2 linked regions of the Stegostoma tigrinum genome follow. Each later gene encodes a partner of the first gene's protein in a complex. Links are inferred from orthologs where the notes say so. Each region holds a gene or a part of one and is shown on either strand. Other genes may lie near its edges.

What was found. The genes of interacting proteins can lie anywhere in the genome.
Region 2: the proteins of poly [ADP-ribose] polymerase tankyrase-2-like (region 1) and sh3bp2 are in contact, whole or in part, in a crystal structure (PDB 3TWR), measured with the Homo sapiens proteins. The link is inferred for Stegostoma tigrinum from reciprocal best matches to the Homo sapiens genes TNKS2 and SH3BP2. Residues at the interface, in NP_079511.1 of Homo sapiens: Arg525, Ser527, His531, Phe532, Gly535, Tyr536, Asn537, Arg538, Leu560, Asn565, Ser568, Tyr569, His571, Asp589, Trp591, Phe593, Glu598, Lys604; in NP_001116153.1 of Homo sapiens: Leu413, Gln414, Arg415, Ser416, Pro417, Pro418, Asp419, Gly420, Gln421, Ser422, Arg424.

What each region holds. Positions count from the first base shown.
Region 1 is NC_081373.1:43,619,462-43,626,693, reverse strand, and holds the start of poly [ADP-ribose] polymerase tankyrase-2-like, read left to right. Parts: upstream 1-4,212; 5' UTR 4,213-4,336; coding exon 4,337-4,556; intron 4,557-7,232. UniProt on the Homo sapiens protein: Poly-ADP-ribosyltransferase involved in various processes such as Wnt signaling pathway, telomere length and vesicle trafficking.
Region 2 is NC_081356.1:130,336,112-130,343,441, reverse strand, and holds the start of sh3bp2 (SH3 domain-binding protein 2), read left to right. Parts: upstream 1-4,318; 5' UTR 4,319-4,419; intron 4,420-7,330. UniProt on the Homo sapiens protein: Binds differentially to the SH3 domains of certain proteins of signal transduction pathways. Binds to phosphatidylinositols; linking the hemopoietic tyrosine kinase fes to the cytoplasmic membrane in a phosphorylation dependent mechanism.

The DNA.
Region 1 (7,232 bases):
ACAGACCCGAATATTAGGTTGTCAGAAAAGAAACACTGTGCACGAATACATTTTTGATTTACACACTCAGCATAAGAGACGTCTGTCTAGAAGTACAAAGTCAGAACATGACACCTATCATCGCACAGTTGATATCATCATATGCATTGGAGTGGCCTAAATTTATCATTGTTGCTACGGTACATTTATTTAAAAGGCAGCAATTATTAAAATACATTCTACAGTACAGCAGTGTTTTCTAGTGAAAGCCATTGTTATAACAGAAATAGAGGACCTTCTAGCAAGAAAAATAAAAGTTGTGGAAGGTTTTATTTCAAACCTTATCTTTGAGATTTTTTTTATTGCTTCCTCCTGATGCTGGTCAATTGTGTCAGAGACATTTCCAATAAAATAATGAAAGTACAGTGATTGTAGATTTCTAGTTTAAAGGTTATTTTCTTTCTCTTTTCTTCTGCTTCCTAAGATAATACGTAATGGTTCCATGACTATTGAAAGTCCTTCGCTTCTACATCTGATGGAATACTAATTTCAGGCATTTTGAGATTTTGTGTTAACAGCAAACAACATGCCTGCTGACAGGGCAGGCTCAGAAAACAATCATTATGTGAACAGAGTGCAGGTACTGAGATAACGAATAATCATGCCATAATCAATGCTTGGTTGTACAACCTGAGCCTGGATTTTTGCCAAACTGGACTGATTTGAGAGCTATGTAAATATGGTCGGCAGGATATGATTCTGAGCTTCCTATTTCCATTTCCAGCTGTTTTCATCAACGTGGGACAAGGATGCAGTAGCAATCCTCTGTGTAGAAACACCTCCCCTGATGGCTTCATTGGGTGCCGTTCAACTCCCCAAACACAACTTCGATGAAGTTGGACCCCTCTGGCATATAGACATGGTTCACAACCCTTCAGAGAAATTGTGAACCAGTGGGAACAACAGATTCAAGTAATCAAAACAGAAAAAAAGGGCATTCAATATTTATGTTGAACTATATTGGCCTCTTAACATCTCATATAGCTATAATCAGTCACAGTCCTATCTAGTTTCAAAGTCAGATATTTTTATTTACCCACACCTTTTAATCCTGCATATAAATAATCCTGAATTTAAAAAAAAAGCAGTCGAAATACTCTTCAAAGTCACAGCAGACCCTTAGAAGGTAACAGAAATATCAATCAAGCAACAAATTCCCTTACCTCTGCAGTTGTATAATGCCCTAGGTGCATTAGCCATTGTTAGAACTCAGCCAACTATTCATAATGACATCACCTGCTATATCTCTTTTGTTCATACACTTGTTTATACAGCAGCACACACTATGTTGACTGACATCAGCATCTGCAGTTTTTGGTATCTTCTCATTAGTAAACAGAACTGTTGTTTTGACAAGGGACCATGACTTGTCATTTCACTGTGATCCTGTCTTTCTCACATTGTAACAAGGTTCCCATATGACAATTTTCCTGTAATAATTAGTTACTTCAGTAATCCCTTCACTTGGAATATCTGTATCATATTTGTTCCTTTAATTATAATGTTATTCCATTTTAAAGTTACATTTTTATTATTGTCTCTGACTGCACCTTTCCTTCATTTATTATTGTAAAGTCCCTTTCTCACACTAATTCTCTTTTCTGTTCAGAACAATTCTCAGTGGTACATTACTGCTGTCTCTGTAATGCTGCCAGAACCCTGCAAAATTCCACGCCACCTCACACCACCCTTTTAGGTTATTTTACATTTAATTAGAAAATAAGGGTCACTGTCACTGACTCGGCCAGCATTTACTGTCCATTTCTAACTATTTGGTAACATGCAGGTGGTGCTGTTTCTGTGTATCTGCTGCTCTCAACCTTCTAGATGGTAGTGGTCATGCATTTGCAAAGTGTAATGTGAGGATACTTGATGAGTTGTTATAGTTGCATTGCATCTGTCAATGACACAAACTGCTGCCACCAGTTTCTGGTCAAATGGTAACTCCCACAATGTTGATCATGTGCAATTCAGCAATGGCAATGCCATTGAAGGTCAAAGGTTATGGTTGAATTTTCTCTTGTTAGAAATGGTCATTGGGGCTGTGATGATTGACTGCCAATCACCGCAACTACTTCGCTTTCTGCACCCTTAGTCACATGATTATCTTCCAGCTCTTTCTTGCCCTCTGACAGCTAGTAAATGGCTTGTGTAATATTCCTGAGATCATCACAGTTGAGCCATTGACTTCTAGGTTATCTCCTAACTCCTAATATTCCATCAAGAGAAATTACTCCATTTCTTCCCTGTTATCATTAGATCTGATCATTTCCAGCCACACTGAGATTTCTCCTGCTGAGGTTCTCAATCGTAACCACTGAAGATGCCAACCATCTTTCTAACGAGTGAGTCCTCTAGAAGTACATTTTTCCTATTCTGGTCCTCCTACCTTGCCTCCCTCAAACTGCATCTTGAACACCTTGCTGCTCCATGGTGCCGAAGTCAGCACTGTGACTTCTTTCCCCAAGTCTTTTTGCTTACCCTAACAAATATCAAGTACATTGTACCTGTTGGACAGAACAGTGTCTGCAGGATCTCCTCCTCTATCTCCCCCTAGTTGACCTTACTCTGCTAGCGGTTTTCAATAAGCAATAATCGCACCTTGGTTAAACCCCATTGGCCACAATACTGCCACTGTGCGTAGTGAGATGCTCAAAAACAACAAAAGGAATGCTGGAAGTCTGATACATACACCAAAACTGCTGGAGAAACATCTTCCTGAAGAAGGGTCACTGGACCTAAAATGTTAACTTTGCTTTTTATCTACAGATGCTGCTAGGTCTGCTGAGTTTCTGCAGCAATTTCTACATTTGTAACAGTCTGACTCTCACCTTCTTTTGCACATCAAAGTTGTGATTGTATTCCAGGCAAAAACTAACCAGAAATTCCTACCATCTTATGTATTGAAATATCTTGAAATCAAAGGATTTTGAGTTGTGCATCAAAACAGTGGTGTTTACTGCAAATCTGGCTTTCCGGATCAGTCTCAATATCTACAAACTCTCACATAATGGTTCCAGGGCAGACTGTACTGCACTGTAATTTCCAAGGGGAAGGGAGGGTATTGCTGTAATTTAACTCTTAAGTGAAATCAAATTATTTGTTCACATTACAGTTTGTAGACAGATTTGGCATAATTTCAGGATAATTTGTGACTAATGTGCAAGATATTACATAAAAGCGTGTAATTTCAATTGAGAAATTTTAGGGGGATGATATCACTTCTTAGTGCATGTACATTCAAGTGAGTGTCATAACAGCTTTGTGTTTTAATTAACAATAAAAGAGCTACAACAATAATAGGAACAAAAGAACTGAGCATGCTCTGAAGATCTGAAATAAAAACAAAGGAAAGACCCCATTGGTCCAGCAGCATCTGTGGAAATATGAAACAGGGCTAATGTTTGAATACAATATGACTCTTTAACGTTGCCCAATACTTTTATCAAGATCATGGCTTTCAAAAAGTAACTGAATCTCACGATTACGGCGTAGGAGGAAGGTGATCATTTGGCTCATCGTGTCTGCACCTGTTCTCTGAATGAGTGTTACGACAATGTGCCATCCTCCTCCATGTTAATTCCCCATACCCTTGAATATTCCAGTTAACTAACCATCAGTTGTAGGCAGAGCTTTAGGACCATGGAGCAACCTCACAATGATGTCACGGAGTTGCTTCCTACAACGGTATAAACAGCACAGTACGGGTGGAATTTAAGATAGGAGTAGATAGGCGGGAAAAAAAACATAAGAACTAGGAGCAGGCAACCCAGCGCCTTGAGCCTGCTTTGCTATTTGATATGATCATGGCTGATCATAGAAGATCATTAGAGTTTAACGAACAGTTGCTTAACAAAAAGGTGAGAACCTGGTATATCTTTCCGGAAATGGTTGTGCATGGTATTATCAAAGGATGAAGGCTCGTAAAGAGTTAACTTTGCTTCCCTCCACCTGCCTATCTACGAACTGCAATCTCAGGTGTGCCCTTAAAATCATAGGTCGGGATATCGTTTTTGAATAAGGCTACCTTCAGAAACCAATTACGATTCACTTGCTTTCTACTTCTGAGAAGGAACGGGAACTCTTACCTGAACATAATAACTTGCTGTCCCCTCCATCCGAGAGATGGTAAAACTGCACATGCGTCTTTCCTTAGCAGTCGCCGGCTATGCTCACGTGACGCTGGCCGTTGCTTGCGCGCGGGACAAAAGGCTGGGGGGGAGCTCGAGCTGCTCCTGCTGATGGTTTGTGGTGGGGGGTGGGGCGCAGAACATCACGTCTCCCTTTACCTGCTTCCATGGCGTCTCGTCGCTGCCCCGGAGTGGCAGGTTCCTCTTCCTCCAGCTCGGGGGAGCATCGATCGACTTCGATATCAGCTCATCCTGACCCGACCAGAGTGCTGTTCGAGAGTTGCAGGAACGGGGATGTGGTCCGGGTGAGGAGACTGCTAAGGGCTGACAATGTGAACGCCAGGGACACGGCAGGGCGCAAGTCGACCCCTTTGCATTTTGCTGCGGGTAAGTTAAAACCGTGCTCTGCACCCCTCCCTCCGCAGCACGGTATGGCGGCCTCGGTCGAGGCCCGTATTCATTTGCTGAAACGTGAAGTTGCTATTTTCTTTTATTTTCCGTTTGCTTTCTTTTTTGCACGTCGATCAGATATTGTCTGTTTGTGTGGATTCGCCCCAAGTCCGCAAGTGAACTTGGTGCAGAAGTTTCAAAATGTAATTTTTTGTGGATGTTGATTTGCGACTGTTCATCATTCCGCCATTCATACCACTTGCAAAATTTTTGTTTTTTGCTTCATTACCACTCTATTAAGCCAGTCATACTGCAGGTAGGGGATGATTGACCACCAGACAGTCCCAAGACAACTAGACAGGTAATACAGCAGTCCCAAGATCCCACACAAGAACCTGCTTTCTATTCCGGATACAATATCAAAAATACATAACCAGAAAGGGCTGCAATCCCTTGGTGTTCCGAGATAATAAAATGTGAGGCTGGATGAACACAGCAGGCCAAGCAGCATCTCAGGAGCACAAAAGCTGACGTTTCGGGCCTAGACCCTTCATCAGAGAGGGGGCTGGGGAGAGGGAACTGGAATAAATAGGGAGAGAGGGGGAGGCGGACCGAAGATGGAGAGTAAAGAAGATAGGTGGAGAGAGTATAGGTGGGGAGGTAGGGAGGGGATAGGTCAGTCCAGGGAAGACGGACAGGTCAAGGAGGTGGGATGAGGTTAGTAGGTAGATGGGGGTGTGGCTTGGGGTGGGAGGAAGGGATGGGTGAGAGGAAGAACCGGTTGGGGAGGCAGAGACAGGTTGGACTGGTTTTGGGATGCAGTGGGTGGGCGGACAGAGCTGGGCTGGCTGTGTGGTGCAGTGGGGGGAGGGGACGAACTGGGCTGGTTTAGGGATGCAGTAGGGGAAGGGGAGATTTTGAAACTGGTGAAGTCCACATTGATACCATATGGCTGCAGGGTTCCCAGGCGGAATATGAGTTGCTGTTCCTGCAACCGTCGGGTGGCATCATTGTGGCAGTGCAGGAGGCCCATGATGGACATGTCATCTAGAGAATGGGAGGGGGAGTGGAAATGGTTTGCGACTGGGAGGTGCAGTTGTTTGTTGCGAACTGAGCGGAGGTGTTCTGCAAAGCGGTCCCCAAGCCTCCGCTTGGTTTCCCCAATGTAGAGGAAGCTGCACCGGGTACAGTGGATGCAGTATACCACATTGGCAGATGTGCAGGTGAACCTCTGCTTAATGTGGAATGTCATCTTGGAGCCTGGGATAGGGGTGAGGGAGGAGGTGTGGGGGCAAGTGTAGCATTTCCTGCGGTTGCAGGGGAAGGTGCCGGGTGTGGTGGGGTTGGAGGGCAGTGTGGAGCGAACAAGGGAGTCACGGAGAGAGTGGTCTCTCCGGAAAGCAGACAGGGGTGGGGATGGAAAAATGTCTATGGTGGTGGGGTCGGATTGTAAATGGCGGAAGTGTCGGAGGATGATGCGTTGTATCTGGAGGTTGGTAGGGTGGTTTGTGAGAACGAGGGGGATCCTCTTAGGGCGGTTGTGGCGGGGGCGGGGTGTGAGGGATGTGTTGCGGGAAATACGGGAGACGCGGTCAAGGGCGTTCTCGATCACTGTGGGGGGAAAGTTGCGGTCCTTAAAGAACTTGGACATCTGGGATGTGCGGGAGTGGAATGTCTTATTGTGGGAGCAGATGCGGCGGAGGCGGAGGAATTGGGAATAGGGGATGGAATTTTTGCAGTAGGGTGGGTGGGAGGAGGTGTATTCTAGGTAGCTGTGGGAGTCGGTGGGCTTGAAATGGACATCAGTTACAAGCTGGTTGCCTGAGATGGAGACTGAGATATCCAGGAAGGTGAGGGATGTGCTAGAGATGGCCCAGGTGAACTGAAGGTTGGGGTGGAAGGTGTTGGTGAAGTGGATGAACTGTTCGAGCTCCTCTGGGGAGCAAGAGGCGGCACCGATACAGTCATCAATGTACCGGAGGAAGAGGTGGGGTTTGGGGCCTGTGTAGGCACGGAAGAGGGACTGTTCCACGTAACCTACAAAGAGGCAGGCATAGCTGGGGCCCATGCGGGTGCCCATGACCACCCCCTTAGTCTGTAGGAAGTGGGAGGAGTCAAAAGAGAAGTTGTTGAGTGTGAGGACAAGTTCAGCTAGGCGGATGAGAGTGTCGGTGGAGGGGGACTGGTCGGGCCTGTGGGACAGGAAGAAGCGGAGGGCCTTGAGGCCATCTCCATGCGGAATGCAGGTGTACAGGGACTGGACGTCCATGGTGAATATGAGGTGTTCGGGGCCAGGGAATTGGAAGTCCTGGAGGAGGTGGAGGGCGTGGGTGGTGTCACGGACGTAGGTGGGGAGTTCCTGGACCAAAGGGGAGAAAATGGAGTCCAGAAAGGTGGAGATGAGTTCGGTGGGGCAGGAGCAGGCTGAGACGATGGGTCGACCAGGGCAGGCAGGTTTGTGGATTTTGGGAAGGAGATAGAAACGGGCCGTGCCGGGTTGGGGAACAATGAGGTTGGAGGCTGTGGGTGGGAGGTCCCCTGAGGTGATGAGGTCGTGAATGGTGTTGGAGATGATGGTTTGGTGCTCGGGTGTGGGGTCATGATCGAGGGGGCGGTAGGAAGTGGTGTCGGAGAGTTGGCGTCTGGCCTCGGCGATGTAGAGGTCAGTGCGCC
Region 2 (7,330 bases), on another chromosome or scaffold:
CTAGATTAAACTCTGTCTGCCATTTCTCCGCCCATATCTGCAACTGATCCATGTCACAGTGTATCCTTTGACAACTTTCTACACTATCCACAAATCCACTGATTTTTGTATCATCTGCACACTTACTAACCAACCCATCTACATTTACACATAAGTCATTTATATTTACCACAAACAGTAGAGGCCCTAGTATGGATCCCTGTGCACTATCACTAGTCACGGGTCTCCAGCCTGAAAACACCCTTCTGTGGGCAAGCCAATTCTGAATCCACATGGCCAAGCCACTGTGGATCCCATGCATCTTAATCTTCTGGATCAAACTGCCATGAGGGACCTCGTCAGAAACCTTACTAAAATCCGTGTAAACAACATCCACTGCTCCATACTCATAGATGACCTTTGTCACCTCTTCCAAAAATTCAATCAAGTTAGTAAGACATGACCTCTCCTGCACAAAGCCTTGCTGACTGTCTCTAATTAGATCATGCTTTTCCAAATGTCTATAAATACTATCCCTAAGAATTCTCTCCAATAGCTTCCCGACCACTGATGTAAGGTTCACTGGTCTACAGCTTCATGAGTCGTCCTTATTTCCGTTCATGAACAAAGGAACAACATTAGCTACTTGCCAGTCCTCTGGGATCTCTTCAGTGGCTAGTGAGGATACAAAGATCTTAGTCAAGGACCGAACAATCTCCTCTTTTACCTCTCTCAGTAACTTGGGGTAGATACCATTGGATCCTGGGAACTTATTCACCTTAATGCTCTTCAAGAGGTCCAACAGCACTTCTTTCTTAATCTCAAAATGCCCCAGCATATTAGCATGCTCCATGCAAATCTCACTATCCTCCATATCCTTTTCCATGGTGAAAACCGGTACAAAGTACTTATTTAGGATATCACCCACATCCTCTGTCTACAAGCAAAAGTTTATCCTTTATCCTTGAAATGTCCTACCTACTCCCTAGTTATCCTTTTGTTTTTAATGTAACTGTAGAATGACTTGGGATTCTCTTTAACCCTACTTGCCAAGGTCATTTCATGGCTTCTTGTTGCTCTCTTAATTCCCAGCTTCAGTGCTTTCCTGATTTCCTTATAATCCTCTCGGGCCCTGTCTGATTTTAGCTTTCTAAACATTACATATGTTTCCTTTTTCTGTTTCGACTAAATTCACAGCTTCCCTCGTGTTCCAAAAGTCCATTACCTTACCATCTTTGTCCTTCCTCTTTACTGGAACATGCTAATGAGCTCTCATCAGCGGCCCTTTAAACAATTCCTATCATGTCCATGCATAAAGTGTCTATTTTTTGTTCCATTTTCCAACACTTGGCCTGTAACTATGTATGCTGTGGCATTTCAAGTGCTCATCTAAATACTTCTAAAATGTCTTGAGTTTTCCTGCGTTTACCACCATTTTTGGCACTGATTTCCAGATACCCACCATCCTCTGAATGAAAGCTGGTTTCTTCAAAGCCCCTCTAAACCTTCTGTCCTTTATGTTAAACCTATGTCCCTTGGGTACTGTTCCCTCTGCTGAGGGGAAAGGATTTTCCCCATGTACTCTCTCTATGCCGCGCAGAACTTCATACTACTCAATCATATGACCCCCTCCCACCCCTGTTCTAAGGAAAACAACCCCAGCCTATCTAGTCTGTCTTCATAGATGAATCGCTCCAACCCAGGCAATATCCTGATGAATCTCCTCTGCACCCTGTCTAATGCAATCACATATTTCCTACAGTGTGGTGACCAGACTTGCACACGGTACTCCAGCTATGGCCTAACTAACATTATGCAGCTCCATTATAACCTCCTTGCTCTTGAATTCAATGCCTTGACTGATCAATTTAGAAATTCCATAATGACTTCTAAACCACATACTTGTCTTGTGATCTTGAAGGATCTATGGACATCCACATTAAGGTCCCTCTGATCTTCTGTACTTCCTAGGTCCTGCAATTTATTATGTATTCCCTTGCCTTGTTAGTCCTTCCAAAATGCATCACCTCACTCTTTTCAACATTAAATTCCATTTGCCAGTGTTCAGCCCATCTGACCACTGTATCTATATCATCCTGTAGGCTAAGACTTTCCACTTCACTACTTAAAGTACCACCAATTTTTGTGTTATCTGCAAACTTACTGATCATAACTCCTCTATTCATGTCTAGATCATTAATGTGTGCTACAAGCAGCAAGGGACCCAGCAACAAAACTTGTGGTATGCCACTATACACAGGCTTCTTGTCTCACAAAAACCCTTCGATCATCATCCTCTGCTTCCTGCCACGAAGCCAATTTTGGATCTAATTCGGCAAATTGTCCAGGATCCCGTGGACTCTATGCTTCTTAATTAGTTTGTCATGCTAGCCCTTGTTGAAAGGCTTACATGTTGACTACCCTATCATTTGCACTACCCTCATTTACACACCTAATCAGCTCCCTGAAAAATTCATTCCAATTTGTGAGAAATGATCTCCTCCTTTCAAACCATGTTGACTATCTTTGATTAATCCTTGCCTTTCTAAATGAAGATTTTGTTTCTGAGAATTTTTTCCAACAGTATCCCTAATACTGATAGTAGACTCACGTTTCCCACTAGCCTGGCTTTGCTCCCTCAGAATAGGTCCAACACTGTCCTATCTCTTATAGGACTTTCTATATGTTGGTGGATGCACACACTCAAGATCAGTGTTTATGCAGATATGCACACTCATGGGTCAATGCAAAAGTCACCATAGCCCTGCTCTCTCATTAAAGAGAAATAACTGGTGGTGGTTTAACCTGAGGGTCGCAATACCTCTGGTAGCAGGAGATCCCTTTATGGTAACCTCAGCCAGTGTGGAAAGTGAACACATACTGTTAGCATCAAAAACCAGCTATCCAGCCAATTGAGTTAACCAATGAACAACAGGACTATGTCTGTAGATGTTCACAAATAGGTCAGCTTGTGTATGCATGGATGTACACACATAGGTCAGTTAGTGTGAATGTAGATGTACACACATGGATCAGTATGTGTGAGTGTGTATATGTAGAAGGATACACACGGGTCTCTGTGTGTGCGTGAGTGCAGGTGTACACACCTGGGTCAGTGTGTGTGTGAGTGTAGATGTACATACATGGGTCAGTATTTGTGTAAGCCTGTGTGCTTGTGTAATGTACACAAAAGGTCAGTGTGCATATGCTTAGATGTACACACGGGTCTGTGTGTGTTTGTGTAGATGTGCACACATAGATGTGTGTGTGTGTTTGTGTGAGTGTAGAGGCACACACTTAGGTCTGTGTGTGTGTGTGCTTGTAGATGTACGCACATGGGTCAGTGTATGTGTGAATGTGTGTGTTTGTGTCGATGTACACATAAAGGTCAGTGTGTGTGTGTGTAAGTGTAGATGTACACACATGGTCAGCATATGTGTGTTTAAATGTACAAATAGGTCAGTGTGCATGTGTTTCTGTAGATGTATACATATAGGACAGTGTATGTGTGGATATATAACAGACGAATCAGTGCATCTGTAATTAGGTGTACGCACATAAATCTGTGTGTGTGGAATACACACGTGTCAGGGTGTATGAGAGTAGATGTACACACATGGTCAGCAAATGTACATACGGGTCAGTATGCGTGTGTTTCTGCAGATGCACACACATAGGTCTGTGTGTGTGCGCGTGTGTGTGTGTATACACGCATGGGTCAGTGTGTCTATGTTTAGATGGACACACATGGGGTCAGTCTATGCGTTCACGCATGTGTAGATGTACACAAATGGGTCAGTGTATGAGTGTATAGATGTACACATGGGTCAGTGGTTGTGTGCTTGTAATGATGGTGTTGGCCTCATTTGACAGCTTCACCAGCATTTTGTTTCCAAACTTTTTGAAATCAGCTCAAATTCACTCCAAAGTGCAAAGCGAGAAGTGATTTGCGGTGCAGAGAGTTGAGGAGTCTTATCCATGATCCTAACTCTAGTTTCTATCACTGACTAGCTGTCAGTCAGTGTGCCCCCGGGTTCTGATGCTGCTCTTTATGTCCAGCGTTTACATGCTGAATGCAAAGGCCAGTGGCAACAGGAGTTTCGTGCCCAGGCTGCTCTCTGTCGGACACCCTACCTTGCCCCCTCGGCCAAACCCCCACCCCCAGGGTTAACTCCGGGGCAGCATTTACTCATTGCACCTGCAGTTTCTAACAGTTGCCCGACAAGGCGTCAGTGAGCTTTTTTTTTGAAAGCATAAAGTCAAACCCGTGCAAAGGAACTGAGTCAGCGGATTCAGTTGAGGAAGTTGAGAGAGAGAGAGAGAGAGACAGAGCAGTGTTGGCTCAGAGACTCAGCGAGTCAGTAGGACTGTTCGCATTCCGGATTTTAACATCGAGCTGCTGCCTTTCTAACTGACCACTCTTATGGAAGCTTTGCTCAGGTACAGTGCCATAGCTAGTGTCTTTCTTTTAATCAAAAAGAGAAGTCAAGACAGGTAGAGTTGAAACTTCAGAACAGAGGGAGAGATGAATTATAAACTCAGAGGCTTGTAGGTTGAGTTCTAACTACGCGTTTGGAAGGTTCGCCTCCAGATGTAGTGAAAATAGCGTTTGTCCCGGACATGAGTGGGACTGTGATCTGTCCCTTGTGCTTATTCAATGAGGTTACAGCCTGTTTACTGAGTGGAGATGAAAAACTAAACAGGGCGACAGAGAGCACAGGAACAGAAAACAAATGTCAATATTTACATTTCATAAATTATTTAAAGAATTTAAGGATTTGATGACCATTCGGCCCAATCCTAGTCTGGAAATTTAATATTAATTTGTTCTATTTTAAAATGAAATCCAGGAAAGGCTAGAAGCGCTGAGTATCCGTGAAGAGAGACTGGGACAAACTCATGGTGCTGTTGAGGACCCCTCACATTTTTTATTCACTCGTAGGATCTGGGTATCTCTGGCTGGGCCTGGAATTTATTGTCCGTCCTTAGTTGCCCATCAGAAGGTGGTTTGCGCTGCAGTCCACATATAGTGGGTTGACCCACAATGGTGTAAGCGAGGGAATTTCAGGATTTTGATCCAATGACAGTGAAGGAACAGGGGATGTATTTTCAAGTCAGGGCGGTGAGTGGCTCGGAGGGGAACTTGCAGGGGTGGTGTTTCCATGTATTTGTTGCTCTTGTCCTTCTAGATGGAAGTGGTCGTAGGTTTGGAAGGTGCTGCCTGAGAATCCTTGGTGAATTTCTGCAGTTCATCTTGTAGATGGTACACACTGCTGTTACTGGTGGAGGGAGTGAATGGTTCTGGGTGTAGTGCCAATCAAGCGGCTGCTTTGTCCTGGATGGTGTCAAGTTTCTTGAGTGTTGTTGGGGCTGCACCAATCCAGGCAAGTGGGGAGTATTCCATCACACTCCTGACTCATGCCTTGTAGATGTGGACAGGCTTTGGACAGTCAGGAGATGAATTAGTCGCCGCAGTATTCCTAGCCTCTGACCTGCTCTCATAGCCACCACATTTATGTGGCAAGTCCAGGTGAGTTTTTGGTCAATGGTAACCCCCAGAATGTTGATAGTGGGGGATTCAGTGATGTTAAAGCCATTGAATGTCAAAGGGCAGTGGTTAGATTGTCCATTATTGGAGATGGTCATAACCTGGCATTTGTGTGACACAATTGTTATTTGCTACTTGTCAGCCCAAGCCTGGAAATTGTCCAGATCCTGTTGCATTTGAATGTGGACTGCATCAGTATCTGAGGAGTTGTAAGTGGTGCTGAAAATAGTGCAATCATCAATGAACACCCCCACTTCTGACCTCATTTAATTTTAATTCACTCAGGGGAATAGGCATCACTGTTTGGGCCAGTGTTTATTGCCCATTCCTAGTTGCTCTTGAGAAGGTGGTAGTGTGCTGTCTTCTTGAACTGCTGAGGTCCACATGCTGAAGGATGACCCAACAATGTCGTTAGGGAGAGGATTCCAGTACTGTGATCCAGCGACAGTGAAGGAGTGGCAATATATTTCCAATTCAGGATGGTGAGTGGCTTGGAGGGGAACTTGCAGGGGGTAGTGTTCCCACCTAACTACTGGCTTTGTTCTTCAAGGTGGAAGTGGTTAGAAGTTTGGAAGGTGCTGTCTAAAGATCTTTATTTTGGAGACTAGGTCATTTATGAAGTAATTGAAGAGGGTTGGGCTGAGGACATGAACGTGAAGAACTCCTACAGAAATGTCCTGGAGCTGAGAAAACTGACCTCCAACGACAATGACCATCTTCCAATGTGCATATGACTCCAACCAGCAAACAGTTTGCCCCCAATGCCCATAGATTCAAGTTTTGTTAGGATTCCCTTATGCCACACTCAGTCATATGCAACCTTGATGCCACTCCTACCTCACCTCTAGAATTGAGCTCTTTTGTCTATGTTTGAACCAAGACTTGTAATTGGCCACATTGGATTTCGAGTCATGGAGATATAAAACACCGAAACAGACCCTTTGGCCCAACTTATCCACGCTGACCAGACATCCGATTCTGACCTAGTCCCATATGCCAGCATTTGGCCCATATCCCTCTAAGACCCTTCCTATTCATATACCCACCCAGATGTCTTTTAAACGCTGTCATTATACCAGCCTCCACCACTTCCTCTGGCAGCACATTCCATACATGCAAAACCCTTTGCGTGAGAAAGTTGCCCCTTAGGTGCCTTTTCTATCTTGCCCTACTTACCTTAAACCTATGCCCTCTAGTTTTTGATTCCCCATCCCAGGGAAAAGACCTTGTCTATTTACCCTATCCATGCCTCTCATGATTTTATGAACCTCTATAAGTGTCAGCCTCTGACAGTTGGGGGAAATAGCCCCAGTCTATCTCTCCCTATAGCTGAAACCCTCCAACCCTGGCAAAATCCTCATAAATCTTTCCTAAACCCTTTCAAGTTTCACAACATTTCTCCTTTGGAAGGGATGTGATAATGGGAATTGCAGATGCTGGAGAATCCAAGATAATAAAATGTGAGGCTGGATGAACACAGCAGTCCCAGCAGCATCTCAGGAGCACAAAAGCTGACGTTCTGGGCCTAGATGAAGGGTCTAGGCCCGAAACATCAGCTTTTGTGCTCCTGAGATGCTGCTGCGCCTGCTGTGTTCATCTAGCCTCACATTGTATTATCCTTTGGAAGGGAGACTGGTTGATGCTCTCAACCATCTCCACCTCAGTTCCACTGATGTAGATAAGAGCTATTTACCCTATCCATGCTCTTCTTTATTTTATAAATATCTTAAGATCACCCTTCAGTCCCTGATGTTTCAGGGAAGAGCCCCTGCCAATTTAGCATCTCTGTGTAGCTCAAACTCT